Linked DNA regions of Xenopus tropicalis. The protein of the gene in region 5 interacts with the protein of the main gene of each other region in a biochemical or structural test. Links are inferred from orthologs where the notes say so. Each region holds a gene or a part of one and is shown on either strand. Other genes may lie near its edges. The genes, in order: topbp1, phb, tbp, setd7, e2f1, rbl1 and ccna1.

Region 1 (4,874 bases), on a different chromosome or scaffold from region 5:
GGAAATTGTCACATCAGCCATTGCCATATTATAGACAGGATATTCAGCACGAGGGACACGTCTTTGATGCTCCATACAAAAAATGACAACTTGTGGCCCAACTATCCTACAGCCAAGCTGAAAACATAAGCATATTTTGATGCGTCAATAAATTAACTAAGTTAAAAAGCATCTTACATAAAGACTAAGTAATATGTTACATATTTTTTTACTTTTATTTTATAGGACATATGGAGCATAAACTCCTTTAACATTATCTGAACTTTTCAAAGTAAATTTAGAAAAATTCTTTATTCTGACACTCAATTCAATCCCCTTAGTAATAAACAGAAAATATGTATTTATATATATTAAACACATTTTTGAGCATTTTTTCAGGCACTTGCCACTTCAGAGACCTGGGCAACTACCTAAATCCTATTTCGGGCCGTGACAGATGGGGAGATTAGTCGCTCGCGACAAATCTCCCTTTTGCGGGCCACTAATCTCCCCGAAATGCCATCCCACCGGCTAGAATGTAAATCACCGGTGGGATGGCATATGCGGCGGGGCGATTTGCCGAAGTTGCCTTGAGAGGAAACTTTGTCGATTTTGGCACAGTGTATGCCATCCCACCGGCGATTTACATTATAGCCGGTGAGATGGCATTTCAGGGAGATTAGACAACCGCGACAAGGGAGATTTGTTGCGCAGCGACTAATCCCCCCGTCTGCCACGCCCCTTACAAACACTGTCAGAGCCACACCAGCATCCCCACCAAAGGCAATACTGCTTGGTCAGGCACCACACCAGCAATCTCCTGATGCCACTGAGTTCTCTCTACCCCCTAACCCCCATAATGGGTTGGTTTTTTTAGTTGGCAGAGGGTGGGCACAGGCCAGCTTTTTGTCGACCCATCATCACTAGTGCTGTTGCCTGCCACTGGTATACTGTCCATAAAAAGGTTAGAATGTGTTGTAGGCAGGCTCACACATACTGTGCATAGGCTGAACAGTACACTCACTCGCTTCCTGCTCAGCCCTGCCCCTTCTGAGTGGATAAGCTATAGTAATCTGGTATCCCCCTCATGAATGTCATTCTGGGCCAATGCAGTTTTCTGCTATTAGGAGCAGTGAATAAGTGATTATAATCACTGTGTGATGACTAACATTTGGAACCCCCAGTGACCTTTCTTCTCCTTTAACTACTGTCTTTTGTTCTGACTGCAATCAAACTATAGTCAAAATGGTTCCATTAAAATCATGGAATATGCATTCATATAGAAAAGTGTTCAGTATTTATATAAGTATAATGGCAAACCTTTTTCAGATGGTTAAAGACAGCACCACTAAAAGGATCACAAATGTAGAGAGATTTGTCTTTTTCTTTCAAGAGAAGTGCCTCACTTTCTTCAGTTAGCTGAAGAGATTCATCAGACTGAATCTGCTTGATTGCCTACGAACACAAAGCAGAAAATAAAACTTCTATTGCCTTTGAGAAAGTAATAATGTGGACAAATGTAATGCAAATTACAAGGTTCCATAAACGCTCATAGCCCTATTGAATATGGTTTCAGCTTTACACAAAAAGGTTATCACCCATCAAATATTCCAAAGACTGTGAGCCCTTTACACGGAGTTAGAAGAATAGTTCAGTAGTTACTTGGTAACTGAGTAACTAGGGCTGGGCGATATACCGTTCAATACCGAATACCGGTGTTTTTCTTTAAAAACTATATTCATTTTTCAGATACCGCCATACCGGGGTGTCAGGGTACTCACCCGTGCGGCCCGGTCTCGCGCTGACGGCACCGGTTCTGCGCATGCGTGGGGGGGGGGGGTATTTAAAGCTATCAAACGCCTCCTCCTGTGCTATGTTGTCTGCGGCCTTGCCTGGGAAACTAAGCCTGCCTGATTTACCTTACGACTTTCTGTTGCCGATCCTTCGCTTGCCTTTCAATACTGCAGTAATTATTATCTAATTTATTAGGAAATGGGGTTAACACCTAATCATGCATGGAACAAAAAATACCGTCAAATAACGTGACACCGATATAATTTTGAAAAATACAGTGATATAAATTTTTGGTCATACCGCCCAGCTCTATGAGTAACCATATTTTATCTAATGTATGACAACCATGTTTCAAATAAAATGTTAAGAAACAAATAGTGCTGTGTGCACCTGCAAGAAATGCCCCTGGTATCTTTCCCAACATTATAAGACAATAGAAAGTTAGCAACGTCAAAACAGATTGAACTAAATCTGTACATGGTTCTTTAGAATATTTCCATAATATTTTTTCTGTAATACCTAAACATAGAATTGCGTGAATGCTCTGCATATGAGTTTGGAACTTTGTTATAATTACTTAGAGTAAAAATATCAGTACAGTAAAAATATCTTTCTACATTATGGGGTTCTATAAGCAACTGTGTAATGTATCCAGATATTTGTTTTATAAATATATTACCTCATAAGCTTTAAAGAAGTATTCAGAATTTTCAGGAGACTTGATAAATTTCACACAAAATGGCTCATTTTCACTCCTAGCCATTTTAACTAAGAACAAAAAAAAATGTGAACATATTACTTTCATACAAATGTCACAATACATCACAAAGCTTGAGGAACAGTAACAGTAAAAAAGTTTATTAAAAAAATAAAAACTACACCTTCTAAATAATACCCATGTCCAAATGCATTATAATTATTTACCTTCAAATTAGCCAAAAATCTTCACTAAAACTCATCGCCATACTATGGACACATTTTTGAAAAAAGGCGATAGGAACACTAGCCCCTCAGTACTCTCCGTAATTGCGCGCTCCCAATGTCTCTCTCTCTCCTACTCACAGGATATCCGGTTGTAACCCGGAAGTTCCGCAGTAGCTGTGAAGAGGAGGAATGGTTTCAGCCGGCATGTTCAAACTTCTCCTTCTCTTCTAGGTTCGTGTTCTTTTCAGAGACTAGGGGAAAGGCATGCTGTTGGAAGAGAGGTGGGGGAAAGGCATGCTGTTGGAAGAGAGGTGGGGGAAAGGCATGCTGTTGGAAGGGAGGTGGGGGAAAGGCATGCTGTTGGAAGAGCTGGGGGGGAGAGGTATAGACACGCTGAGGAAAAGACCTGTGAAGCAAAGAATGCTTGGTTAGAGGTATGGGAAGGGGCAGGGACTTTGTGGGAGAGACGCTGTGGGGGATGGCTGCTGAAGGGAAATGCTGGGAGACACGTTGGGGGGATGGCTGCTGAAGGGAAATGCTGGGGGACAGGTATGGGCTTTGTGGGAGACACGTTGGCGGGATGGCTGCTGAAGGGAAATGCTGGGGGACAGGTATGGGCTTTGTGGGAGACACGTTGGGGGGATGGCTGCTGAAGGGAAATGCTGGGGGACAGGTATGGGCTTTGTGGGAGACACGTTGGGGGGATGGCTGCTGAAGGGAAATGCTGGGGGACACGTTGGGGGGATGGCTGCTGAAGGGAAATGCTGGGGGACACGTTGGGGGGATGGCTGCTGAAGGGAAATGCTGGGGGACACGTTGGGGGGATGGCTGCTGAAGGGAAATGCTGGGGGACAGGTATGGGCTTTGTGGGAGACACGTTGGGGGGATGGCTGCTGAAGGGAAATGCTGGGGGACAGGTATGGGCTTTGTGGGAGACACGTTGGGGGGATGGCTGCTGAAGGGAAATGCTGGGGGACAGGTACGGGCTGTGTGGGAGACATGTTGGGGGGATGGCTGCTGAAGGGAAATGCTGGGGGACAGGTACGGGCTGTGTGGGAGACACGTTGGGGGGATGGCTGCTGAAGGGAAATGCTGGGGGACAGGTATTATTTATATAGTGTAAGTGAAGTCTTTTTTGCTCAACTATGATAGAAAATAATCTGGAGTTATTTTTTAGGGTGACAGGTCCCCTTTAAGCTTTAGTTCTCCTAACACTGCATCTGTGTTGCCATAATTCTAATGTAGTGTGGTGGAGAAAATCCTAATTATATTGCACTAATAGAAGTGCATATTGTGATGAATCAAGGAAAAATATCCCTCAAATCACTTTTTTTTTTTTAAATATAAATTCTGATTGATCTAATAAAGTATTTCAAGAAATTCCAAACTAGAGAGCTTCAGAACAAAACAATAATTAATAACATTTTCAACAAGATGCTATAAATTAATTGTAAGATGAACCTCCCCTTATTAGAGCAATCATAATTATTTAAATAGATTGTATATACCTAGGCACTTCCTAGGTGGATTTTTATAACTATAAACATATGATTGCACTAACGGAGTATTACCTGTGAATGTAATTAAATTACATTAAAAGTGCAGCAAGGTGTTAGGCATAATGTAGACTATAATAATAATAATCAGTAAGAATTACTCTTGGACTGAAAAAAAAGTGTTTGGAAGGTGAACTACCCCTTTAAAACACTGTGGAAATATTGGAGATGGGGGGAATAGGGGGAGCAGGAGGAAGCAGCGAGGTGCGGGCCAGGGGTCCCTGGCTACCAATGTCTGTGTGTCCTTTGTACTGATGGGAGGGGCCGTGGGGTGGGGGGGAGCAGAAAATTTTGTTTTCAGGGGTCCGTGATTTCTGATGGCGGCCTTGCTCTTCATGCTGTGGGGGGATTCACTGTACCTTTGATGCTGTGCCTCTCGGGGCATTCAAGTGCCACTGGATCCTGGAAGTTTCTGGGGATTCACAGTGCCAGTAGATGCTGGTGGGGGGTGCACTGGATGCTGGTGGGTTAGAGGTTACTGTGTTACTAAATGCTGGGATACACTTTGCCACGAGGTGTAGGATTCCCTACCCTACATTCCCTGCTACTAGATACTGGTGGGGTAGGATTCATTGTGTCAATACATGCTGGTGGGGTAGTACTCCGTGTGCCACTAGATAC
Region 2 (3,567 bases), about 28 Mb from region 5:
CATTGGAATAATAGATGCTCTCGGTTTTTGTTATGTAAACCTTATCATTAGTAGTGGAAGATTAACAGATTAACTTCCTGCAGACGGGAAAACACTTTCATGTAATATCTGTGGCAATTTTGATTTATATATCAGGGTGGTGTATAATTTTACAGGTAACCTGCAAATAAAAAAACCTAAAGCACTTATTTCTCCATTCAGACACATCTGACCTTTGGCAAGGAGTTCACAGAGGCCGTAGAAGCCAAACAGGTGGCCCAGCAGGAAGCGGAGCGTGCCAGGTTCATTGTGGAGAAGGTACATGAGTGATCATTTAGTAAAAGCCAAAGTTAATGGGTTACAGGAAACAGATGTATAGATAACTAAATGGTATGAAAATGTTTGTTTCACTATCAGTATTCCACAAGACATATTGCCTGTATGTATATGTACAGGAGTGTATGTATATGTACAGGTTTGTATGTATACTGATGTAGCACTGAACAATTATATGCATGTTTTGTAGGGTTTGCGCAGGAGTAAAATATTTATATTCCCAAAAGAAGTGTGTTTCAGATCAATCAAGATATATACTGTCCATAATGGAATATGCCAACCCTTTTTGTAATAAAGCGGAACTCCACCCAAAAACAAACTAATCTCTTTGAAAAGTAAACATAATTTGAAGCAACATTGCAAAATACATCCGTAGTCGACTGTCCTCAGCCTGCATCCTCCAAATCCCACAGTTCCCTGCACACGTCGTCAATAAGGAAAGGAACATTGCAGTGCAATGCATTGTGGGTTATGTAGTTCCTGTATGCTCTCTAAGCTTTGGAGAAGTTATTACAAATTGTAACATCAATGATTTAGTCCCTCCTCCCCTGCCAGGATTTCACATGATGCAGAAAGAGAAGAACTGTGTTGTAGCTGAATGTTAGCATATAAAGATGGTATTTATTCATACAGTTCGAAGGAACAGATTACAGTCATAGGTATATTAGGGGTTTCTGTGTTGTGTGGAGCTCTTTAACAAATTTTAGTTCGTAAGCCAAAGTTCCACCTTAAAGGAACAGCTCAGTGTAAAAATGAAACTGGTAAAATAGACTGCGCAAAATAAAAAATGTTTTTAATATGACTAGTTAAGCAAAAATGTATTCTATAAAGGCTGGAGTGAGCAGATGAACATAATAGCCAGTACACTACTTCCTCCTTTACAGCACTCTAAGCTGTTACCAGTTGGTAACCAATCAGTGATATGAGGGGGGGGGCATATGGGACATAACTGAACTGTTCAGTTAGTTTGCTTTTTAATCTGACCCCCTGGTCGTCCCCCCCACCCCCTCTTCCAAAGTTAGTGACAGACTAAGGTTAGAGTGCTGAAAGCAGGAAGTAAAGTTCTGGCTATTATGTTAGACATCTGCCCACTCCAGTCTTTATAGCAGGGGTCCTCAACCTTTCTTACTTGTGAGCAACATTCAAATGTAAAAAGACTTGGGGAGCAACACAAGCACCATAAAAGTTAATGGAGGAGCCAAATAAGGGCTGTGATTGGCTATTAGGCAGCCTCTATGCACACTATCAGCTTACAGGGGCTTTATTTGGTAGGAAATCTTGTTTTTATTCAACCAAAACTTGCCCCCAAGTCAGGAATTCAAAATAACTCCCTGGTTTGGGGGCACTGAGAGCAACACCCAAGGGATTGGGGAGCAACATGTTGCCCCTGAGCCACTGGTTGGGGATAACTGCTTTTATAGATTACATTTTTGCCTAACTAACTATATTACAAATATTTTTTATTTTGCACAGTCCATCTATTTTACCCGGTTTCATTTTTACACTGAACTTTTCCTTTAAGGGATTATTGTGCCTGCCTTCATAGTTCCTATTGCTAAATGAGATGACTGAAATCTTACCAATTACTTTGTATCTCCTTTCCAGGCTGAGCAGCAAAAGAAAGCTGCAGTGATTTCTGCAGAAGGGGACTCCAAGGCAGCAGAGCTCATTGCGACGTCACTGGCGGATGCAGGAGATGGGCTTATCGAGCTGCGCAAACTGGAGGCCGCAGAGGACATCGCGTACCAGCTGTCTCGAGCTCGTAATGTCACCTACCTTCCCTCAGGACAGTCAACATTATTACAGCTACCACAGTAATTGGATGATGTGTTGTCATGCCATTTATTTTTTTTTACGTCTGACCCCTACATAGGTCTTTGTTAATTGGCCAATTTCCCTTGGGAAATGTTACAGAAGATTGTGTATGAAGGTGAATCTCCTACAGAGCCCACATAATACCCTACATGAAATGGACTTTAGCCACAGAACTGTTTGAATCCTGCCAATATATTTCTGAATTTGAATTGAATATAATTGTATTTTCAATGGAGGGCATAATACATTTTTGGTTGAAGCACTTGTTTATGTCTAAACCTAAAATCTGGCCTTCTGTCACTAACAATAAAAGTTATCCCTCAGAGGATATTTCAATAATGACATTGTATTATGAGTCAGATTACTTATGTAGGGATGATCATGTGTTAATCACCTATGAGATGTAACTTTGGGGGCCCAGGCCCTCCCTAAAATTGTTTGTTTCTGGACCACCATCCCCTTGGCCAAAACTGTGCCCCCCCCTCCCACGCAGCCATAGGGTGTATTCCTAGACCTAGAGTACAAGAGAGATTTGTGTAAAATGTAAAGGGATAGTGACTAAAATCTAGCAGGAAAGTGTCACTGTGGCTTTACTAAGCAGCCTGGTTTTAAGCTTGTGATTCCCTCGGGTCACCCTGTCACGTATTGACTAAAGTCACTGAGACAACATAGCTAGATAGTGAGTTTTCTGTTCTTTATCATTTTCTTCCTTCCCTCTACACACTTCACATTCTCTGCCTTTGCTCAGATACTTTTCTGCACCCCATCACCATAGCAAAAAGATCCCTTTTAAAGGAGAAAGAAAGGTAAAAACTAAGTAAGCTTTATCAGAAAGGTCTTTATCAGCCATAAGCACTCACAGAAACGCTGCACTGAGTTCACTGTCAAAAGATTTGTTGTGTCCGTTTTCCTCTCCCAGAGACACGCAGCTCTCTGCTCTCTCCTGCTCCCCCTCCCTCAAGAATGCTAAGAACTCACTCCCCCCCTTAGGAATGTGGATCTGAGCCAATCAGCAGGAAGCTGGCTCATAGTCTAACTATCTGAGCATGTACACTTGGTCTGGGTCTCGGTGCAGAGTGAGGCATTATGGGAACTTTCTTTACACAGCTCAGCATTTTTTCTTCCTGTCTGGCTTCTGATCTTCTGAACAGGTAAAATATGGGGAGACTTAAGGGCACTATTGAGAGAACTGAAGGTATGCCTGCAGCTTGAGATTAACTCTTTATTAGCCTTTCCTTCTCATTTAAAACCCCAGGTTCCAAACATTCTAGGCATAAACATTATAGATTCCAAACCTGTATTTCCTTTTCCAATTCAGGGGCAAAACGTTTTTGTTTTTTTTGTTTTTTTTAAATAAGAAAAAAAAAAAAGGAAAAAGTGAATTTGTAAATCCAGCACTATTTCTAAATATATGTATAATTTTTAGTGGTATGGGGA
Region 3 (4,244 bases), on a different chromosome or scaffold from region 5:
GATAACCCATCCTCATGCCACTTCTAGGCCAGCATAAAAATACTATGCCCAGTGGGTATGGCAGGACAAAATTACAAACAGGAAATCCTTTTCTCATCACACATTTACAGAATTAAGTGCCATACAATGCACCAGTGTGTTCTCCTGAATGACTTTTACAGATAGATAAGAATATTTAGGGCTGTGACAGACGAGATGATTAGTTGCGACTAATCTCCCCGAAATGCCATCCCACCGGCTAGAATGTAAATCGCAGGTGGGATGGCATACGCGGCATCTTTGAGAGGAAACTTCGGCGATGCTTATGCCATCCCACTGGCAATTTACATTCCAGCCAATGGGATAGTATTTCGAGGAGATTAGTTGCTCGCGACAAGGGAGATTTGTCACGTGGCAACTAATCTCCCCGTCTGTCACAGTGAAAGCAACTATTAGGTGAATAAGATACAACAAAGGCTTTTGTCTTACCTTAGGGTTATACTCTGCATTTCGCGCTCTAAGTGCAATTGTTTTCAGATCCAGTTTGCAGCCAAGATTTACAGTGGACACTATGTTCCTGAACAATGTAAAAGCAGTTATTACAAATCCAAATATTTTTGCTCACTGTATTTAAAGGTATTCAGTCATTAATTTTTATTGTGTACTTATATTTCTAAATTACTGTTTACATAGCAAATAATTTACCATTTAAAATTTTATTCTTAAACCAACAAAAGTAATTTTTTAGTTGTAGGCAGCCAGATCAGTGCATTGTGCCCGAGTCTGAGCTTTCAGAAGGAGCCAGAGCTACTGGACTTGAATTTTTTTTTTTTTTTTACTATTGAGTACTGTTCTGATATCTACTGGGAGCTGCTAGCTTGCTAACTTACATTGTTCTGCTGATCGCCTGCAGGGGGATGATGATATCACTCCTATCTGCAGCACAGTAGTAAAGTGTGACTGACCTTTATCAGAGCAAAAGTCACATGACTGTGGCACCCTGGGAAATGAACATGGCTAGCCCCATGGGAAATTTTTAAAAAGTATTACAAAAAAAAAATTTGCACTATTAGTACTTGTAAAAGTGCTAAACTATTTTAATTTCCCAATTCTTTACTTGTTCTATTTTTCACACATGTTGGACAGATATAGGACACATTAAAACTAGGATACTACTGTACATGCTAAATTACATATCAAGACAAGTCTTTCTCCCTCAATAAAGTTTCACTTTAAATATGACATCAATTCAGTCTCAAGAATGTGGTGTAAAAGTCTGAAATGAGGAAACCGTCTGCATCTGTTTCTAGACCTAATATATACACACACCCCTGGCCTGGTAGCTTTTAAATCTAATATGGACTCCTATATTTTTAAGAAATGTAGCTTTTTTTTTTTTTAAACAAATGTAACACTCACAGGGTAAACAAAGGTAATGCAGCACTGTTAAAATACTCATTAGTACCAAAGGTAAAACAAAGATAAGGTCTTTTAATTTTGACAGGCCACACTCAAATGTGGTATAACAAATAAAGTCATTACTGTCTAAAATTAAAATATGCCAGAATATGTTTCCATTTCCTGTATATCTAATATTTACCATTTGCAGAGTTGTATGCTCTATGGCACTACAGAAATGTACAGACAAACATAAGGATTTGTTGACAAGTGTGCAGATACAGATAATCTGACAAATGATATCTGCAAAATGTCCCCCAGGATGATGAGACTTACTGTAGCTGAGGAACAATTCCTGAACTTTCTGATGCAGGGGTAGCAGGAGTAATAGGGGTCATGGGAGTCATTGGGGAGGGGTATAAGGGTGTATTTCCTGGAAGAGGTGCTGTGGTAAGAGTCTGTGGGTGAAACAGTTGTGGGGTTTGGCCTGACCCCTGATTGCCTTGTTGTGATGTAGACTGCTGGGCCTGTTGTTGTTGTCTTTGCTGTTCTTCCAATATTGATAAACTGTTAGTTGTTTGTACAGGTTGAGGGGTCAGACCAGTTCCATAGGGCATCAACGGACTGAAAATGTTAATCCCTGGAGTCAGAGAACCCTACAGAAATAAAAGACAAAAAAAAAAAAAAAATTATAACAAATTTGCTCTCAAACCCACACACAAGTTGAATCACAAGTTAAAATGGGCTTAGTACATGGGGATTTCTTTAATGAAAATCTTATGGTATAGCCCTGCACATGGAGTAGGACAAGCTAAGGGCTCTTACACACAGGTGTTTTCACCCTGCAGTCTCCCGAATTGGATTTCTTCTCCTTTCCACCACAAGGAAGCATAGGATGAAATGCAGCTCTATATTCATTCACATGCATGAATGAGAACGGAACACATCTGTTTTGTGTTCAAGAGCCCTCAGGATGGCGTTCCTCCACCTATTACGACAAGCGCCCCAGCAAGAGAAACATTTGCATTGAAGCCAATATTGGCTGCTGACTTGCATTTCCCCCCTAAGTCAGTTGGAAGCATATTGGCCTGTGTCTCAAGTTTTTCTTCTATTTTTTCATTCTTCAGTATTGTATCTGTTGTCCAAATTAACCACACCCGGTATACCGTATACCCCCCAATTTAGAAAGTGCAAATGAAGTGAATATTACAATGCTTTTAAAGGCATTTTATTTTATGGAGGGGGAATTGTGGTAAAAGGGAAAAAAGGGTTCACACTTACCTGTGGTGATGCCAACCCCTGGAAAGGGGGTATACTGTTGTTTTGATCCATGTTGCGTTAATTGGAAATCCCACTAAGAATAAAACAAAGTGTGCTGTTCCTACAAATTAAAATAAACCATTCCAGCAGCAGACAAAAATCCTATAAAAAGAAGTTAAAAAAAAAAAAAAAAAAAAAACATTAAAACATAGCTTACATTCAGCAGTTAGCACCTGTATTGGTAAATGTGATAAGTTAACAGTAGGACAGAGGGCCATAACAACGAGCCAATGTGGTCCCCGATCCGTGTTGGGGGTGCCCATACACAGGCAGATAAGCTGCCAAATTGGTCTGAAGGAACTAAATTGGCAGCTAGAACCTGCAAGTGTATGACAACCTTATGTGACCATAGCAAGCAGTAAAGACAACACCATGAAGCTAATCTGCTATTAATCCTACTGTATAAATCAGTGACCCAACAACTAGATGACTGTTTAAAAGAACAAATAAAGTAAAAAAAAAAAAAAGATAAGATGTAGGGGATATTTATAATATTAGCAGCAGCAAATTGCTTGAAATGACAAAAAAAGGTATACTAAAATGGTGTAGTCAAATTATACACTTGCAGATGTCACAATGGGATTCCTTCAAGCAAAATTTGTAAAATGACCTGCGTGTGGTTTTAGTTTCTCCAAATCTCTTAAGGGCTCTGGCACACGGGGAGATTAGTCGCCACGACAAATCTCCCTGTTCGCGGGCGATTAATCTCCCCGAAATGCCATCCAACCGGCGAAAATGTCATTCGCTGGTGGGATGGCATACGTGGCGGCACGATTTCAGTGAAATAGCGGAAGTTTCCTCTCAAGGCAACTTCCGCGATTTCACTGAATCGCCGGTGGGATGGCATTTTGGGGAGATTAGTCTCCCGCGAACAAGGAGATTTGTCGCGGGTGACTAATCTCCCCGTGTGCCAGAGCCCTAAGAAGCTATAAAAACCATAAACGTATTCATTCAGATGTAATAATCAAGCCTTGTTATATCTAAATTCTGAGATTTTGTAGTACAATAATACAAATTTTGCTATATGTGCCCCTAAACCTTTTTCTCTGAGGAACCAATTAAACGCACAAATTAGTTTCACAACACAAGGTTGGTTTATGTACATAACTTAGTGCCTAATTTCCATTGTACTCAGTAAGATCATGCCTCAACAGTACAGGGAGCCGTAGGTTTATTGCTGAGTTTAGGCTGTAGCACTACAGAATGAGCTAGAAAATAGTAGAAACTATTAGACTAGATAAAATGGCTCCAAATCAAATTGGTCAGCTCAAGGCCAAAGAAGCAAATCTAAAATTTGCCCAGCTTTAAAGGAGAAGGAAAAGTAAAATGACTGGTAGTAGTAAATATTATTAGGCATCCTCAGGGATTCCAGCCACTTAGTTTACCTGCTTCAGCAACCCCACCCCCTTTCAGGCATAACCTGCCAGGCTTGGGCAAGGGCATGTGCACTACAGAACTCTCATATTTCTGTACCACTCATACCCACCCTAGACTGTACCATTCACACCCACCCTAGACAGTACCACTGTACCTCTCATACCCACCCT
Region 4 (4,345 bases), on a different chromosome or scaffold from region 5:
CAAATATAGGGATCTGTTATACAAAAATCTGTTATCCAGAAAGTTCAGGATTACAGGAAAGCCATCTGCAACAGACTCCATTTTAATTGTTCAAATTTTTAAATATGACTTCTTTTTTCTCTGTAGTAATAAAACAGTACCTAAGACAGAATTAATCCTTATTGGAAGGAAAGATCCCTTATCCAGAAAGGTACAATACCTGTACATAATGTGTGCATACAGTGCAATGAGTTTTAGTAAAGATCCTCCATTGGCTATCCTGGTGATGCTGAATTACAACTATCTGCATTGGAAGCTCTTATGAGCAAGGGCTTTTTGTACCTCCTGTATCACTCGGCATTTGTATACTATATTTATGTTTGATGTATACACTTATCTATTATGTTTGATGTATATATATATAGTAATTGTAATATTAATACAGATGTGCACCTAATAAAACAATAAAAACAATAAATGAAACCATAACTGCTATTCCAGCATGTAGCAATATATGCTTAAAAAAAAAAAAAGGTGCATTACATGCACGTACCTTCCATCAAAGAAGTAGAACTTTCCACGTCCATTTTTTTCTCCATGTACAAAATGCCCCTCAAACCGATCAGTTGAGCTGTAGTTGACAGTGCAAAACCCGTGAGGTAATCCGTCATCATCCAACAGGCCTTCCCAGAAATAATAAAGAGGATTAAATAATGCGTATTTGGTTAATACAGATAGCATGGTGGAAGGATTAAATGTAGCAAAAATGCACACAAAATCAAACAAATGTAATCAAAATAATAAATGAATAAAATAACAGGAGGCAAATCATTTTTATAAGAGACACAATGGTAAAGCCATGGACATGCACCTGCATCATAACAAAGTATAATTTTCTTAACAATGAACTATAGCTGTTTAAATGCAGTAAGACTAACAAAAGCAAATTGCTATTGGATACTTTTCTGTAAAATGTATACTTATTTTCTGAACTATCCCTACCTTTTTATAACAATCAAATCTGTGTTGTGACTGTGAGGTCCCCTGGGGCACTGGAACAGTACCAAGGGGTTCAGCATGAAGGTAACTGGGGTGATCCTGAACACAGAATGACCCTCCAAGGGGACCTTGAACCAAAAGGTTCCAACAACCACTGTCGTACAATGTAAAGTTTTTATTAGCTTCTCCTATAGTCAGTAAATGACTTCAGTTCCATTCATACTTTCAGGTAAACATTTGAAACCTTATTTATTCCATGCATTTATATTGGCAGCTACTGTTATGGTCAGTCTCTATTTTATTCTTTCTTGATGCATCGAGGTTTGCCAAAGAAATAGTGTTGGGAAGCTGGCAGTGCACGTACAGTATATGTAGTAAGGACTGTGTGTAGGGTGCTAGATGCTCCAAAGAACTGAAACAGAATGCTATCTGAGCAAGATTTGCACAAAAAAGTTTCTGTTTGTTAAATTGATCAGTAAAATGTACTGATCTATAATAAATTTGTCCTAGCGCCGAAAACAATGGGTAGAATTGTTAATTTCCTTGTGTAATTTGCATTAGGAATTGACAATTCAGATTGTCTCTTGTGTTAGTACCAAGAGCTACTGCTGAGCTGAGGACAATAATCCAAAGAAAGTAAATGTGCCAAAGCCAAACACATTCTGACAAACTGACATCTATCTGCTTTGCTAAATATTTTAACTCATTAACATTTTCATCATTATCAGGAACATTTCACTGGCGTAGACTTTAAAACACTAGTCAATGCCTCTATTAAATATTTAACAACAATGTCACAAATACACAAATATTTAGTTTTTGATACACTCATATTCCACCCAGCTATGCCCCCATGCAACCCAGTTTCTCCTGGTTTGCTCCAATTCCTGCCCCCATTATGTCACCAGTAACATTTATTTGACATTTGTTTGTTTATTTGAGAGAATATTATTATAAAAATTCATGACTGCCCTGCACAACTCTTGGAACTACACTTGCCCTTGTAATTTCCCACATGTACCTTCACGTTATGCCTAAATGCCATCACTTTGCCACCCCCTCTGCTGCTTCCTTATATGCCGTTTTCTACTTACTGTACTGCCCCTCACACAAGTCTACCCCACCAACACCTAAGACAGGCTGGTCTAAAGTCAGTGAGGATATTTAGGCATCTATGGTGGTGATGACAAAACACTTGAAATTGGTCCTATTCAATTTAATAGCAATTGCCTGCAAGAGTGAATACAATCATTGATCACAACTGACAAGTGATTGGTTGTGAGCATGGGTGCAACTGTAGAAAGTGAATAAAAGGCAATTTTCAAGCATTTTGCCCCTACCTTTGGAGCTATTAATCACCACTACCTACAAAACACACAAAATCATCCCATGTGCCATTGCAACTGGAAGTTAAATGTGTGAACTTCTGTTTGAACTGTATTTATCCCAATATGGAGATATATGTTATATAGTTGAAATGAGATTACATGCCACATAGAGAGCTAGAGCTAGAATTCTACCCATACTTTTACATTCAGTTAATTGTTGTTGTTCGGCAGCATGAAATTAAAGGCTAAATGTTGTTCTGAGAGAACATACAGTACTTTGCAAGCAGACAAAATGTAAATTCATGTGCAGATAAAAGAAGAGCATAAAATGCATTATTTATAGCAAAGCTGGCCAACTGGAGGTCTGAGGGCTGGATGTATGATATTTAAAGCCACAATGGGCCCCACAGACTGTGGAGTATAAAATAATGATTTTAATATAATCCAGCCTGCAAACATGCAGTATGTCAGTTTACTGCCCACTACATAGGAAATGTTTTACAGTGCTAATCTATAGCGAATATCTGCATGCATATATATTCATTTTAACTCGACTTTGCAAGCACAGATGACATGTTCTCAAGATCAATTGTGCGATTAATGGTGTTTGATTTAATCCCAGTACATGCACAAAAAATAGATTACAAAAAGACAGTAGAGAGCATAACAATTAAAAAAAAAACACATTTAAAGCCATGGTTTCCTTTGCCAGAGGTCCTGAACATACAGGTGGAGGTAAAGGTATTCGTGGCCAAACTGTACATATATATTGGTCATGGGGAAAGTTGCCAATTTGTGGCCTGGTAAAGCAGCTCTTTTCTCTCCCTTTTTATATTTCCCTACAGAATCCCAAATGTAAAGGCATAATTATCTGTGAGTCTGATACAATAGAAATGACAAGACACTTTTAGTATTAATGGCACTGTGTGAATCAGATATCAACTGATGGAAAATGTTAAATCAAATTCTGATTTCTAGGTCATTCAGAGGGTTCCAGAGATATTCCATTACAGATCGGTTCTGTGCTCTTGGATTACTAGGCCACAACAAACAAACTACCCCCAATCAGGAAATATTATCCCACTTTCTTACACCCCATTAACCTCTGTCCCCACACCCCATCCTTCATATTTACTGCCACTAAAGAGTATATGGGTCCCATTATAAGGGAGAGAAAAGGTCACAAAGCCCTGGGATAGTTTACTGACTGTTTCTTCTAGCACTATATTTCCAGTCTAAGCCGCTTTATCCCTTGTCTGTCTAATCTCTGTCTGCTTTCACAGCACAGTCACATCTCTCCTCTACCAGTAAACAAAATTAGTTTGGCAGTGGCACTGTCTGGGTGAAAGGCAATGCCCTCACAGGATGCAACGCTGACAAAAGTTTATCAGGGGCCTGGCTCATTTCTATTCATTAGTACAGCACGATCACCCATTATAAGATGGGAGATGTATACAATATTCAAACGCCTTAAATGACCTGTGTATGATATCATTATAAAGAATTCTCAGAGGCAGATTTACTAAAACTACTTTTTCTCATTTAAAAAAAAAAAAAAAAAAAAAAAAAAAAAAAATAAATTTGAATTTCCACAAATGTTATACATTTACTAAAAAATCTGAACTGAAAAAGCATGCGTGGGAAAAATGTTGCATAATAACCACTACATTTTCCAAACTGTCACACAAAATGGATGTATGCATTCTGGATAATGGGTCCTATACCTGTATATCTAAATATAGGGTGCATTTTTTTAAAGAACTACCCTTCTGGTAAATATTAAAGAAAATACCAATGCTGTCATTGTGTTGGGTTGAAAAACCCAACATACTGTTCTTCAACTTCAGCTTAGTCTTCCACTTTTTATTCTTATTCTTAGCGCCCCCCCATTTTCTAAACGCTACTCCTCCTACAGTTTTAGGGGTACAGCACCCCACACTTCTTCGCCCTATAGCGGAGCAGGTTGCTTGTGCTTTTCTAAGCGATCCGGCCCCCCGTCTTTTTGTGGCGCCCCTCTGAACACCCCAATTTTTCCATTG
Region 5 (4,345 bases):
TCTAACTTCTGGCAATCCTTCAATGCACTCTGGTATCTGCTGTTGTATTCCGCATATGATGTATATCCCCTGAAACAAATATTATAAGGTATTATAAGAATATTACAAAGTGTTATTTTGTAGTGTCTGGGCTTGGTCAACTAAAACCAATGAACAAATAACTCATGTCTAAACAAGGTGCATTTTAATGGTCAAATTAAGCTATGCGGTGATAGACCTGAATTGCCTTTGTAAAGATTAGAAGAAGCAAAGTATAATACAGAAGACCTAGTTAGTAAAAGAAATACGTAGGGCAGAAACTGACTAAAGAGCGGAAAAGAAATATAAGTCAGAAAAAAGGGGAGAAAAAAAAAATCAACAGCGCCTCATATACTTACAGCCATTGTATGTGGTTTTTGGATTTTTTAGTGATTAAGTGGATCCCTTCCAATACATTGGTGATGTCATATATTCTCCTTTTCTGCACATTCAGAACCTGAGCAGCCCAGTTCAGATCCACTACTCCATCTGAAGATTGGCTTAGAAGTTCCAGAAAACGTTTGGTTGTAAGATGCAGGGATGTATCATATCGTGACCGCTCCCCTGGGGATTTCACTGCTATTGAGTAAAAGTAAAAAAGGTTATATCTCAGTTAAAAAGAGAAGGTTCGTTTTTTTGTTTAGCAGTTCACCAGTTTGGAATTTCAACAGTTAACCGGTTGCTAGATAGCAAATGACCCTAGAAACCAGGTAGTGGTTTGAACAAGAGACTGGAAAATGAATAGAAGTGGGGCTGAATAGAAATATAAGTAGCAACAAAAATAAAACTGTAGCCTCAGAGAGCAATCATTTTTTGGCTGCCAGGGTCAGTGACCTCCATTTGAAAGCTGGAAAATGCAGCAGACGTAGGAGACTACGTTTTCCAATTTTAAAGATGGGCCTAATCTAAACAATTTATGAATCAGTCTATTTTAAGAAATATTTACTTTTTTCCCCAGTTGCCTTTTATTTTTATATTTTTCTAAGATTTTAGCTTCATTTTGCTCCCTCTGGTGTTCCTAGTAGTAGCACAGTAATTAGCTTGACGACAATTTGCTGTATCAGAGTGGGGCAAATCTCCATGTTTTGTAACCCAAGTGTTTTCCTACCTCAGAGGTCGGGCGACAATGTGCAGCTAATTGCATGCAACAACAGGTGCACTAGCAGGTCAGGCAATTATCCCACAGAAACAGTGGCTAATGCATTTTCAAGCGATTATCACCTGAACCGTGAGTGCACCTGTGTGTGCAGATGATTACCCTAGGAATGAATAGGAGACTATTCCAAACACTTTGTCACCAAGCCAAAATAAGGAGTGGGAGTACTTTACTTTGAAAATTCACATAAACAGTAACAAAGAACAAAGATGTTGAAACACGTGTCTTTCAGAATGGCAGAAATTCCATACTTACGTCACTATGGATTATTAGGAGACAGTTTAAGGATGGCAGAAATTTGCTACGTCCAATCAAATGTTTAGGGTGAAGACACACGGAGCTTCTAGTAGCAGCTACTTTTTTTAGAGCTGTGGCAGACAGGAAGATTAGTCGTCCATGACTAATCTCCCCAAAATCCCATCCCACCGGCGATTTACATACTCGCCGGTGGGATGGCATTTCGGGGAGATTTGTCGCGGCCAACTAATCTCCCCGTATGCCACAGCCCTTAGGGCTCTGGTACACGGGGAGATTAGTCGCCCGCGGCAAAACTCCCTGCTCGCGGGCGACTAATCTCCCCGAGTTGCATTCCCCCTGCCATCCCACCGGCGAACATGTAAGTCGCCGGCGGGATGGCAGACGCGGCGGGGCGATTTTGGGAAATCCCCGAAAAAGCCTCGCGAGACTTTTTCGGCGATTTGCGCAAAATCGCGCCGCCGCGTCTGCCATCCCGCCGGTGGGATGGCAGGGTCAAGGCAACTCGGGGAGATTAGTCGCCCGCGAGCAGGGAGTTTTGCCGCGGGCGACTAATCTCCCCGTGTACCAGAGCCCTTAGGCTACTAAACACCACAAAATCCCCTGCCATAGACAATACTGAGGATTGCATCTGCTAAAACACACACAGAGACAATTATCAGTAAATGATCAGCATTGTCTTATTTAGTAGCCACGACAAGTAGCTGCTACTAGTAGCTCCATGTGTCTTCACCCATAGACCCAGCAAAGTATAAAACAGAAGGTCTAATTAGTAAAAGAAAAAACGCAGGGGAGAAACATGACTAAAGAGCGGAAAAGAAATATAAATCAGAAAAAAGGGGAGAAGAAAAATCAATAAAGCCTCACAGTAATTTTATGTTGTTTTTAGATTTTTTAGTGATTATGTGAATCCCTTAGATACATCCCATAAACGCACAATACACATTTAAACTGACCTTTCAGAGGTCTTTTCCCCTTCCCGCGGGGTGTCTGTAGCGCTTCTTGATTATATCTGGATACAGTTTCCAAATCTAACTTCCTTTTTACCTGGAAAAAATAATTGCCATGAATGATTAGTATGATGTAGGCAGTAAAAAAAATATTATGCAAACCTGTGAAGGAGAATCAAAATTGTAGTGTAGTTTTATACTTATTCTCATAAAAGGTAAGACAGGGCACTTTGGTCCCATAATTGGGAGTACCATAGCCTTTATGGTTTGAATCGGACATGATCTACTGCAGGGATCCCCAACCTTTATTAGCAGTGAGCAAAATTTAAATGGAAAAATAGTTGGGGTGCCAATAAGTGCTATGTGGACTGGCAGCCTACAGACGGCTCTGTTTGGCATTATACTTGGTATTTATGCAACTAAAACCTAACAAAAATTCAAAAATGGCACCGACTTTGAGGCCACTGGGAGCAACATCCAAGGGGTTGGGGAGAAACATGTTGCCCCTGAGCCACTGGTTGGAGATCACTAATCTATTGTGTGCAAAAACTTGGGCTTTTGGCACACAAAGTATTCTGGGTAGACAATGTACCATTATGAGCCTTAAAGTGGCATTTGATTGGCATGAAGCAGGCTCACATTACAATGGTTTTAGTGGAGGCTTTTCTTTTAAACTGCTCCCTTACTGTTTTACAGCTGTTTGGTAAAAATTCCCACCCCGGCCCATACTGGTTTCCCAAGTCTGAAGCGTAGGAGGAAAATTCCAACAACCCATCTGGCTGGTTTACCCAATGGTTGGGCTAGGCTAAAATGATGCTTGCTTGTTAACTCTTTCTGTGCGTGTTACAACTTGCTATGCTGGGTGAGCTTTTACAAGCTGAATAGACCCCGTACCTGAAGTATATATACATATATAATGCAACTATAGTATGAGATGCAGATGGCAGGACTGACTAGTTTACAGGCATAAGGACCAACCCACAGCTGCACAATGGACAACAGTTACTGATCCCATTAATAAGGAATCCTGTTTTGTGTGCTCTTGGTTACACTACAGCACTACCCATAGCTGACTAGTAACATTGGGATCATTAGCTGGGTCAGTGCTAAGATATTCCATACTTTGGGTCAATCAGTATCATTTACAGATGAGCTTCATATTGCAAAACAAAACCACCTGTTAATAGGGCAGTGCCAGTAAATTAAAACCAATTATTCTCACTACTGCCCTGTGAGGTTAATTATATTGTTATGATTAGAGGTAAACCCATTATCCCAACTAAGATATAATTACCCCTTATTGGGGGCAGAACAGCCCTATTGGGTTTATTTAATGGTTAAACGATTCCCTTTTCTCTGTAATAATAAAACAGTACCTGTACTTGATCCCAACTAAGATATAATTACACCTTATTGGGGCAGAACAGCCCTATTGGGTTTATTTAATGGTTAAATGATTCCCTTTTCTCTGTAATAATAAAACAGTACCTGTACTTGATCCCAACTAAGATATAATTACCCCTTATTGGGGCAGAACAGCCCTATTGAGTTTATTTAATGGTATAATAATGGTATATGGTATATAATTACCCCTTATTGGGGGCAGAACAATTCTATTGGAAAAGACCACTTATCCGGAAAACCCCAGGTCCCGAGCATTCTGGATAATGGGCCCCATACCTGTACTCATCTTTCCATGCATATGTCAGTCACTCATTCAAAGCACTGCCTGGTTGCTAGGGCGGTTAACCCTAACAACCAGGTGTGGCTGCTGAAATGCCAAACTGAAGTTATTTTACAAAAAGCTTAATAAATATCTGCATTAAACTTAAGATGAAGAACCCCTTCCATAATAACCACTGACACCATGTTTTTATTAACATACACAATACCTATACTCAATATATTTAAAATAATGCATAAACTAAAACAAATGCACAATTACTATAGGTAGGTGCATATAAAG
Region 6 (4,921 bases), about 670 kb from region 5:
TTTCGCGCCTTTTTGCTATCGCGGTGGGCGGGGCCTGGAGCGGCAGGGAAGCGAGTCTGTGGGGAGCGGAGGTTCCCAGTTGGTTGTACCGAGGAAATGCAGCGAGAGGAGACGGACACCGAGGCTTCCAACTCGTCGGACGGGGGCCCGGGGGAGGCGGTGCAAGAGCAGCTGGAGACTTTGTGCCGGGAGCTCAACTTGGACCAGGAGACCGGGGCCGAGACTATCAGAGACTTTACCCGGACATGGAGCACCTACAGCCTGGAGGTAACCGGCCTGACTCATACCGGGGCCGCCGTGCCTTCTGTCCCACTGTCTGGCACTTCCGTATCCTGCCTTGTACTCTGGGGGCCCCCTGCCCTCCTGCCTTGTACTCTGGGGGCCCCCCTGCCCTCCTGCCTTGTACTCTGGGGGCCCCCCTGCCCTCCTGCCTTGTACTCTGGGGGTCCCCCTGCCCTGCCCTCCTGCCTTGTACTCTGGGGGTCCCCCTGCCCTCCTGCCTTGTACTCTGGGGGTCCCCCTGCCCTCCTGCCTTGTACTCTGGGGGTCCCCCTGCCCTGCCCTCCTGCCTTGTACTCTGGGGGTCCCCCTGCCCTCCTGCCTTGTACTCTGGGGGTCCCCCTGCCCTCCTGCCTTGCACTCTGGGGGTCCCCCTGCCCTCCTGCCTTGCACTCTGGGGGTCCCCCTGCCCTCCTGCCTTGCACTCTGGGGGTCCCCCTGCCCTCCTGCCTTGTACTCTGGGGGTCCCCCTGCCCTGCTGTATGGGGGTCCCCCTGCCCTGCCCTCCTGCCTTGTACTCTGGGGGTCCCCCTGCCCTCCTGCTTTGCTGTGTGGGGGTCCCCCTGCCCTGCCCTCCTGCTTTGCTGTGTGGGGGTCCCCCTGCCCTCCTGCTTTGCTGTGTGGGGGTCCCCCTGCCCTCCTGCTTTGCTGTGTGGGGGTCCCCCTGCCCTCCTGCTTTGCTGTGTGGGGGTCCCCCTGCCCTCCTGCTTTGCTGTGTGGGGGTCCCCCTGCCCTCCTGCTTTGCTGTGTGGGGGTCCCCCTGCCCTCCTGCTTTGCTGTGTGGGGGTCCCCCTGCCCTCCTGCTTTGCTGTGTGGGGGTCCCCCTGCCCTCCTGCTTTGCTGTGTGGGGGTCCCCCTGCCCTCCTGCTTTGCTGTGTGGGGGTCCCCCTGCCCTCCTGCTTTGCTGTGTGGGGGTCCCCCTGCCCTCCTGCTTTGCTGTGTGGGGGTCCCCCTGCCCTCCTGCTTTGCTGTGTGGGGGTCCCCCTGCCCTCCTGCTTTGCTGTGTGGGGGTCCCCCTGCCCTCCTGCTTTGCTGTGTGGGGGTCCCCCTGCCCTCCTGCTTTGCTGTGTGGGGGTCCTGCATCCTTGCCCCCCCTCCCCTGACTTTGCCTTCTGAATGTGACAGGATGTTAGAATGTAAGCTCCAATGGCGCAGGGACAGCTGGGTATATTGTGTAATCTGTGTGTGTCAGTGTTGGGGAGTATATCCGCCCCACACTATCCTGGGATTCATTGGTCTGTGTGCCTACAAGTTGTGGATGGTGGCCCCGTCTCTTAGTAGCCGGGCGCCCCATTTTTAGGCCCAGTGCAGCATTGGGATAGGAGCCCCCAGCCCCCATATTTGTGTGTATTTGTCATGTTGTAGATACAAGAGCTGCGACAGTTGCATACAGTACAAACCCAATATGTTTATGCTGAATTCACCGTGTAGCTTTAGATGGCAGTGTATGTGGGATAGTCCTGCCCCTAGTGCCGGGGCTCTGGGCATGTACTGACATGACAGCTGATTGCCGGCACGTGGGGGAGGCACAGGAACTGCACAGATTTGCCATTTTAAATGTCAGCCACGTTGTCCGGGGCTAATACTCAGCAGCAGCTGTTACCTCCTCGCCCAGTGCTCCCTCTGAGCCTCCCATAGCCACCCGGGGGCAGATCAGCGTGTAGGGCCTGTGCCTAGAAATGTAGGAGAAATTCAGCTTTAAATTTCGTTCTTACTATTTATTTTCCAACACATAAAGAGCCAGCATATTCATTAGCATTGAATGAATGGACCAATCTAATGTTTCATTTTGTCTTCATTATTTGTTAATGTTTGTAGTCAGCCTGCATCTGATAATACCATCAGCTTGTTGGGGGCCTTCAACTGATCATTGTCTGTTCTGATTTCCAACAGCTGCCTAGTTGTTAGGGTAAATAATACTTAGCAACCAGACAGCATAATTTCAATTGGCCATAACATAAAAAATTGGAATTTGTCTCTGAGTAATGGAGTCTTCGTTAGATGGAAACAAAGTGTTGTGCTGCATACAGAGCCTCAAAAAAGCATGTGGATCGTTTACCTTTGCTCTCAGCTTTTAGTTTAATATTATTCTAGCTCTGTCTCTCAAGTGGAGAATTTACAGGATTGTTTTCCTGCGTCTTTTAGGGAGAAGTGAAGCATTGGCTCGCGTGTGCCCTGTACGCAGCATGTCGCAAAGGTGTCATACCGACAGTGGGGAAGGGCATCATGGAGGGAAATGGCGTGTCGCTCACACGGATACTGCGCTCTGCAAAACTGAGGTATGTGCAGAAATTCCTTTACATAGCAGTCATTTTTCATCCAATGTATGTAAATGGTAACTGGGGCTATTTCTAGCCTGGGCGATACTGCTCAGGGTATGTACCCCCCAATCGCTTCACGCTCTGTTCCTTCATTGTTCCGCAGCTTGATTCAGTTCTTCAATAAAATGAAGAAGTGGATAGACATGTCCAACCTTCCGCAGGAGTTCCGCGAGCGAGTGGAGCGCTTGGAAAGGAACTTCGAGGTGGCCACCGTTATATTTAAGAAATTTGAGCCCATCTTTCGGGAGATATTTCAAAACCCTCACGAGGAGCCGCCGAGATTACCAAGGAGCAGGAAGCAAAGGTGGGGTGTAATGGGGCATACCCCAGTACCTTGGTTTTAATATTCTCTTATGGGCAACTAGAGAAGCCCACTGCAAGGACTTATTGGCCAGTGGCTAGCACTGGAAACAGGTGCTTTTTTTACTGGAATCAGTATGAGCCCATTCTATAGGATTGTTCTGCAGAAGGAACAACTAATAAGCCAAAGGTTCCCCCCCCCCAGCTTGTTTTTTCTGATCTTTAAAACAGCATTATTTGTAGAATTGATATCGTTAACTGGCAGTGTTTTGTTCTCCAGGAGGCTGCAGTGCAGTGCCAAAGATCTCTTCAGTTTCTGCTGGACATTATTCGTATACTCCAAGGGTAAGTCTTGTCTAATGTACTGCCGTGTTTGGATAGTGATATCGCAGGTTCTAGGTTCCTCTAGGAATGCTCTAGGACAAAGGAAGGAGGGTCTGGCATTTACCAACAAACATTATTGTAAAGGAATGTGGCGTATTTATATACTATAATGGTAGCAAAGTGAAAAGTCTCCAGTTAATTTTAAACTCCCCAGCTACACCGTGAGTGGCCTAACCCATGGCTTCTCTTGAAGAATATCTTTGGGGTAATCACAAAATGGTTGTCGGGGTCAGTGACCCTAGCGGTAAAGGCAGTTTATTGTCGTTCAGTACTTCTGTTTTGGCACATAGCAGTCGAGATACCATCTGAAGAACTAAAAGTAAACTTTTAAAGACACTTAGAAAATGTCTGTCTACGCCATGCTGCAAGTTAATTTAAAGAGAAACTACTACTTATATGATATAGGCAGTTTTATAGCTATTACATATATTCACCTTCAGAGAGGAGACACACTTACTTAAAAACATTCTGGTTTCTAGGTAATTTCTGCTTGATTGGAGATGACTTGGTTAATTCTTATCACTTGCTTTTGTGCTGCTTGGACCTTATTTATGCACACGTGCTGCAGTGCCCTAATAAGGAAGATCTGCTAAATCCTTCTTTTACTGGTATGTATTATCACTCTTTTTCTATGCAAAATATAACATGAGTCTTAGCTCTGTCATTACAAAAAAACCAAATGGATGGGATGTTTCAGCTGCCCGTGCCCCTCAGCTGCTGAGCCGGGGCTTTTTTCAGATGCAAAGTAAAAGCTCTGTCACTTCAGAGAGCTCTCAGAATAGTGCCCACCAATAAGTGAGTGCTATTTGCCCCATGTGTGCCACTATGTGACTGGCTTATGTGCTGGCTAATCTTGTTGGCCTGTATATGGTACTTGTACTCCATATACTGGAATTGTCTATATTTTCTCTAATATACAACAAATAGTTTTTATCAGTAAACCAAGAGATGGCCCTCCAGATCTTGTTGGGCTTCAACATCCAGCTGTAGGCAGTACTGTGCGCAGTTAAAATGTGTGGAGGGGCCTCTTATTTATCGATCATGGTTATATATTGTGATATGCTGTACTGTATTGTCTGACTGCTAGATGTCACTTGGTGTTTAGGCTTTGGCATCTCTACTCTGTTTAATACTATAGATCAGTGCAGTCCAACTTATTACATGTAATGGGCCAGCTATATCTTATGCAGCAAGTTGGAAAGCCAAATAATGTCATATAGTGAAGCCTATGGAGTGTCTGAGCAGACTGGGGGCCTTAAAAATCCAAACTGGGGGACCACGGGCTGAATGGGGCCCTCCACAGGACAGCCCTGCTATAGATACTAAATACATTATACTGTTGCTAGGTTTTAAAATGGACTGAACACAGTGGTTACCTGAGTGGCATCCTTTCACTATTGCCTTAGTTTTCAGTGGGTGTAAAATTGAAAAGGATTTAAGGCTAAACTCCATGACTCCAACAAGACTCACGATCCGACTTAAATTACAAATTATGGAGATCAGATTTGGTACAGAATCTTGTGCTGTTGTGTGGTGTTGAACGACCAGATCGCAAAATCTGATCCAAATCTCCTGTGTAGCTTAGCCCTTAGAAAACCATTATTCTGAGGGATTTACTCATTGCCACCCATGTCGGT
Region 7 (4,863 bases), on a different chromosome or scaffold from region 5:
ATGGAGAATAAGTGCTGTGCAATGTAGAACTCCCAAAAGGACATTGTCATATCACAAGACCATGTCTGACATGCCAATGTGCCATCACAGTTACATGCTAGCAAGGGACAGCAATGTGGGCAAATACAGTTTGCACACTATTATTTTCAGTATGAACACAACAGCAATATTGGTACAATTAGCAATAGTTTCTCCTAGCAGTTAAGCACACACCACCCTCACTTAGGCTTACATTTCAGCAGTTTCTTGCTGCATTTGCCACCATCCTAGTTATGGACTGGTTTTTAGAACAAAAAAAGCCAATGCTCTGCTTAACCTAAGCTGTACATGGGAGTTCCTAGGAGAACCCATTTGCTAGCATGCAGGCTAACCTTTATTATAAAGTTGACCTAGTGCAAGAAAACCCAACAATTGCAGGTATACAGTTTCAGCCTGTGTAATTGCACACCTACTAAAGCAAAGACTGCATAGTGTTAATTTACCAGCAATGGTACAGAATATAGTCTAGCACAATGCCTTTTACTATAGACACCATGGAAGCTTACTCGAGTTGAGATAAAGGATATCCTCCTTAAGGCATGACAAGTGCATTCCCACTATTGAAGGGATGCTTCTGCTCACTTTTGAAGCTTCATTTTTGCATGTTTGATGTCAAACCATTTGCCATACCCTTAGAAATTGACCAAACGCTAATAGGTGAACATGGGTTTTATCACTGTTCACTACCTTTAGTCAAGTGTTCTAGCATTACAAGCAGGAACAATTAAACCTCTGCTACAGAAGGGTCAAAGACCAGATTACCCCCAAGGGTAAAGGCCAAGTATATGCTTCTGCTGCTTAGTGTATCCACACTAAGACTTTAGGGTATTTTATATGCTAAATTTTGGCCAGTGGGGTCCTGATTTGTGTCCCAATACAGTTATTGAAAACAAGGCTCAAGACTGTAGGAGTAAATCAATTTTATTAAAAACACTTGACACCATCACAAGTTAAAGAACCTGGATAATGACGCTCTTATTCAGTGTTGACATTCATAAAAAGCCATTTCCTTGAGCAGCTTGACTGTAGGAAGTCAGGATTATCTAAGTCTTTGAGTACTGTGGTTAGCCAGTGCATGTCTGCTGTGCCCACTGGGGTTCAGTTTTAGTACATCCACTTGTTTATTAGCCAGATGTCCACATGACTAGTTCCCACAGCAAGAGACATTGTGCCTGCCCAATATCCAAGGCTTGTCTATAATATAAGTCCTTTAGTTTACACAGAATAAAAAGTCTATTTCATAAAAGCACAGGAGTCTCAGTATACATGTTAATAAATAAAACGGCTCCATTGGACACTTGGCCTGCAGTGTCTTCATAAAAAAAAAAATAAGACCAACACTGTTGATCGTGAGGTAAGTGCTGTGTGTATCCACTCTGAAGGCTTCAGTTCAGGGGAAGTACTGCTGGCATCTCCAGTAGAGAGACTTGCATATATCTAGGAGAAAGATTTAACAGCCAATCAGAACAAAGTTTAACTTAATATTGAGTTGGGGAAATTATATGAGCTGCCTTACTTGGGGGTCTTGTACTTCTCCCTTATTGCTTGCTGAGCCTGAAAAGGGGCACGGAGAGAGGCTTGGTGCAGATCACTTAGGCAAGGTGTTATTTCACTCAGTGTGTAGCCGGTGAAGGTTTCCAGTGTTTCAGGCTATATAAGAAAAAAAAAAAAAAAAAAGCTGCTTGACACCAACATTTAGCCATAAGCACAAGTACTGTTACTGCCTGCTTTTACCCTACTTCCACCTGTAAGGCATACCTTACAAGTTTAGTATAATAAACCTAACACATTTAGAGAACCAATAATGGGATTTTACTGCAGCTATAATGAAACCAGAAGAATGCTTCATTCTACAAGCACTTCCAGAGCTGTGCACCTACCACAGGTGATTTTTGGAATTTGTGTAAGTCTGCCAGTCACTGCCATCTCTTATCTTACAAGTGAGATATTTGGAATGTGAGTCAGTGCTTAAAGGGGGTACTCCAGAGTTCACAACTTTCCATATTACTGTAAGCCCTACTGCACAAAGTACTTAGCCAGTACTTTGTCAAAAATTAATGTCAGGAGAAACAGCAGCTACTCAATACAAATGAAAATTGTTAGTGAGATCATAAGTTAGCACCTTACCCAGAACACTTTGTTGAGTGCATAATTGGCAAGACAATAGGCTGCAGCAGCTGTGATTGAAGGAACATACTTCAAGAACGGCTCCACGTCAAGCAGACTTAGTTCTGCCAGGTACTAAAAAAAACAAAATGCAGTGTGCACTTATAGTATCCCATTTACATTCTTGTACTTTAATTTGTGTGCAGTTAGCAGAATGAGGCTTATACATTTAACTGCCCTATAACTACTAGAAATGCAGAAATCTGTACAGCTGTCTAAGCACAAGTTAACAGATTTGTATTACACACTGGTTGGCCAATACGTGAATAGGTTACCATTGCAAGGTGCTCAGTCTTCACACTGACTGCACGTCTCTGCAGGTACTGAAGCAGGAACTGGCTGATTGTAGGTACAGTAAGGTCAAAGGCCAGAACCTTCAGCAGAAGGTGTTCCATGCGCAGCAGCTGTTTCTTTGAGTATGTATCATCAGTTATGTACACAAATTCATCAACATCAGGAGGGTAGATTTCTTCATATTTTCTATGTAAAAGCAATAAGTAGTTACTCTACTACACAATGGTCATTGTTGAAGGCCCACATAGGGGCTCAAAAGTAGAAATTGGGTCAGTCTACAAGTGCTGGGTTAGGCCTGGAAACGGTTTTATACCTTGCCGAGCAAAGGAATATTTGAATAGGTGCTTTTGACCAGGTGCAGTAACCCATAGCAGCCAATAAGACTTGTTTGAAGCCAAGATGACCAGTAACGGCTAATGCAGATTAGTTGCTATAGGTTAATGAGACCCATATACATATGTCTGACAAGGGGCATTCCCCCCATATATGCATGTCTATAGGTTTGATTCTACCATTACTTACGATGCCAATAAGATAGCGGCTGTGCCTACAAGCTGCAGTTTCCCCCGGAGTACAGACATGCATGACAGGAAGCGGTCCAAATAATTTACAGCCAGATACAGAGTCTCAGTACGGAGCTTGTATTCCTCACCAACTTCTGTTAGCCAGTCCACGAGGATTGTGCGCATTGCTGAAGTAATGTCTGGCTGCTTACGCATGTAATAAGCCTTTGGTCTGTGTTTCAACTGGATAATTAAGAACACACATTAACTCACAGCAGTCACCCAACTGGCAGACCATGCATATGACTTGCGGCCCACTACTTTGCTGTATTGCCATTTGAGCATTTATCCTTGCCAGCATGTAGTTTTAGATTGTGAAACTCTGTAAATAAAGCTTACAGGTATGAGGGGGTAGATTCTGATGGGGGTCTTCCCCCAGTTACGTCTTATAAGGCAGCTGAAAGTGTACTACAGCCGACTGCAAGATGCCTTTGAAAGCAGAAGTTGGGGGAAGAGGGCCAGATAATAAATTGGGAAAATGAGACTGGAGAGCAGAAGAGCAGAATATGGAGGCTACAAGAAAAGACAAATAGCAGAAAAGCCAAGAGAATGTAGAGTATAAATGGGGACATAGTGAAGGCAGAATGCACAGTATATTGAAGAAAGTCAATGAGTAGAGTAAGACATGCATAAAAGTATTTAGCAGATGACAAAAACAGCACAGAGATTAAGTTACTGCTTCATATGGGGAATTCTTCCAACATCCTTGCCAATACCTATATGACCCTTCTCCTTAAGCTTAAATCTGCTTGTGTGTAATGTTAAGCTTTTATAGGTCTTTGTTTTACATTGAACATTAAAGTGGTGAAGACTGCTTAGACCCAACATCCTAAAAGGGACAATGCAATAAAAAGGTAGAACATTTGCTACAAGTCTAGCCACCTAGAAGGCCGTCAGGAGAAAAGTGGCTGCCATCTTTGAAAATTGTCATAAGTGACTGGCTGATCACCTTTGGTAAATTAGAGGAACTGAAGGCATGACAATGCAAAACTATAGTACATGTGGGTCCTTAGAACAGAAAGCAGTGCAGACTGTTAATTGTCAAGCCAAATAAATTGTATAGTAACTTAGAGCACAAAATTATAAATATATAGTACTATACAAACAGGTACATTGCCATAGTGGTAAGAGGGTCCTGCTCAAAGCTTACAATATGAAGGTGAAGTTGTGATCAGATAAAACAAACTAAGCCATGTTTAACCCAGATCTCACCTCAGCCTCTCTAAGGTACTGATGTATCTCATCTATATATTCTGACACAGCTACAGCATCTGGATCTGTTATGGAGTCATCTTCTGGGCTTGCCTGGAGAGAGGTGTCCACCACCATCGGAGAAGCTGCAGAAACAATAGGCAGTTTAAATGTGTATTAAAGGGAAAATGCAGAGCTTTAGCAGGGATTAAACAAACCTGCACTGAGATCCAAGAGCAGATGGATGTTCTGCTTCACGATATTTGAATCTACTTCATCCAGAGTGGGACAATCCTCTTCAATCGAATAGGTTTCTGTTGGCTCCTCTGGCTCATCCACATACACTGTAAAGATTGGCTTTGGAGCCACAAGTGCTGGGTTTGTTGGCAGGATTTTTCCAGCGAAAGGAAGCACATTTTCAATTCCAGGCAGACACTTTGCAGGGGCCCCACCCTAAGAGTTGGAACACTGATTATTTAATCTGCACAGGTAGACCTAGCCGTGTTTTTTTTTTTTTTTTTTTTTTAAACCCCCCCCCCCACACACACACACGTTATTAAGCCTGTCCAACTGGAAGCCCATCCAAAGGCTTTTCATGGCCCCCAGTCTG

What was found.
Region 1: the proteins of e2f1 (region 5) and topbp1 form a complex in vitro, tested with the Homo sapiens proteins (4 studies listed by BioGRID and IntAct). The link is inferred for Xenopus tropicalis from reciprocal best matches to the Homo sapiens genes E2F1 and TOPBP1.
Region 2: the proteins of e2f1 (region 5) and phb form a complex in vitro, tested with the Homo sapiens proteins (2 studies listed by BioGRID). The link is inferred for Xenopus tropicalis from reciprocal best matches to the Homo sapiens genes E2F1 and PHB1.
Region 3: the proteins of e2f1 (region 5) and tbp form a complex in vitro, tested with the Homo sapiens proteins (2 studies listed by BioGRID). The link is inferred for Xenopus tropicalis from reciprocal best matches to the Homo sapiens genes E2F1 and TBP.
Region 4: of the proteins of e2f1 (region 5) and setd7, one has a biochemical effect on the other in vitro, tested with the Homo sapiens proteins (3 studies listed by BioGRID). The link is inferred for Xenopus tropicalis from reciprocal best matches to the Homo sapiens genes E2F1 and SETD7.
Region 6: the proteins of e2f1 (region 5) and rbl1 form a complex in vitro, tested with the Homo sapiens proteins (2 studies listed by BioGRID). The link is inferred for Xenopus tropicalis from reciprocal best matches to the Homo sapiens genes E2F1 and RBL1.
Region 7: the proteins of e2f1 (region 5) and ccna1 form a complex in vitro, tested with the Homo sapiens proteins (2 studies listed by BioGRID). The link is inferred for Xenopus tropicalis from reciprocal best matches to the Homo sapiens genes E2F1 and CCNA1.

The regions. Positions count from the first base shown.
Region 1 is NC_030682.2:52,585,707-52,590,580, reverse strand, and holds the start of topbp1 (DNA topoisomerase 2-binding protein 1), read right to left. Parts: upstream 3,076-4,874; 5' UTR 2,836-3,075; intron 2,830-2,835; exon of another isoform or gene 2,698-2,829; intron 2,542-2,697; 5' UTR 2,537-2,541; coding exon 2,453-2,536; intron 1,435-2,452; coding exon 1,300-1,434; intron 118-1,299; coding exon 1-117. UniProt on the Homo sapiens protein: Scaffold protein that acts as a key protein-protein adapter in DNA replication and DNA repair. Composed of multiple BRCT domains, which specifically recognize and bind phosphorylated proteins, bringing proteins together into functional combinations.
Region 2 is NC_030686.2:14,011,194-14,014,760, reverse strand, and holds the end of phb (prohibitin), read left to right. Parts: intron 1-201; coding exon 202-297; intron 298-1,920; coding exon 1,921-2,133; 3' UTR 2,134-2,472; downstream 2,473-3,567.
Region 3 is NC_030681.2:50,706,237-50,710,480, reverse strand, and holds the start of tbp (TATA-box-binding protein), read right to left. Parts: upstream 2,801-4,244; 5' UTR 2,710-2,800; coding exon 2,659-2,709; intron 2,034-2,658; coding exon 1,714-2,033; intron 557-1,713; coding exon 469-556; intron 1-468. UniProt on the Homo sapiens protein: The TFIID basal transcription factor complex plays a major role in the initiation of RNA polymerase II (Pol II)-dependent transcription.
Region 4 is NC_030677.2:61,012,076-61,016,420, reverse strand, and holds part of setd7 (histone-lysine N-methyltransferase SETD7), read right to left. Parts: intron 663-4,345; coding exon 533-662; intron 1-532. UniProt on the Homo sapiens protein: Histone methyltransferase that specifically monomethylates 'Lys-4' of histone H3. H3 'Lys-4' methylation represents a specific tag for epigenetic transcriptional activation.
Region 5 is NC_030686.2:41,694,104-41,698,448, reverse strand, and holds part of e2f1 (transcription factor E2F1), read right to left. Parts: intron 2,477-4,345; coding exon 2,386-2,476; intron 598-2,385; coding exon 378-597; intron 70-377; coding exon 1-69. UniProt on the Homo sapiens protein: Transcription activator that binds DNA cooperatively with DP proteins through the E2 recognition site, 5'-TTTC[CG]CGC-3' found in the promoter region of a number of genes whose products are involved in cell cycle regulation or in DNA replication.
Region 6 is NC_030686.2:42,361,558-42,366,478, forward strand, and holds the start of rbl1 (retinoblastoma-like protein 1), read left to right. Parts: upstream 1-1,834; 5' UTR 1,835-1,960; intron 1,961-2,424; coding exon of another isoform or gene 2,425-2,505; coding exon 2,506-2,558; intron 2,559-2,703; coding exon 2,704-2,904; intron 2,905-3,180; coding exon 3,181-3,245; intron 3,246-3,763; coding exon 3,764-3,892; intron 3,893-4,921. UniProt on the Homo sapiens protein: Key regulator of entry into cell division. Directly involved in heterochromatin formation by maintaining overall chromatin structure and, in particular, that of constitutive heterochromatin by stabilizing histone methylation.
Region 7 is NC_030678.2:151,890,755-151,895,617, forward strand, and holds the end of ccna1 (cyclin-A1), read right to left. Parts: intron 4,707-4,863; coding exon 4,472-4,706; intron 4,400-4,471; coding exon 4,275-4,399; intron 3,246-4,274; coding exon 3,022-3,245; intron 2,686-3,021; coding exon 2,481-2,685; intron 2,281-2,480; coding exon 2,167-2,280; intron 1,690-2,166; coding exon 1,556-1,689; intron 1,477-1,555; coding exon 1,425-1,476; 3' UTR 946-1,424; downstream 1-945. UniProt on the Homo sapiens protein: May be involved in the control of the cell cycle at the G1/S (start) and G2/M (mitosis) transitions. May primarily function in the control of the germline meiotic cell cycle and additionally in the control of mitotic cell cycle in some somatic cells.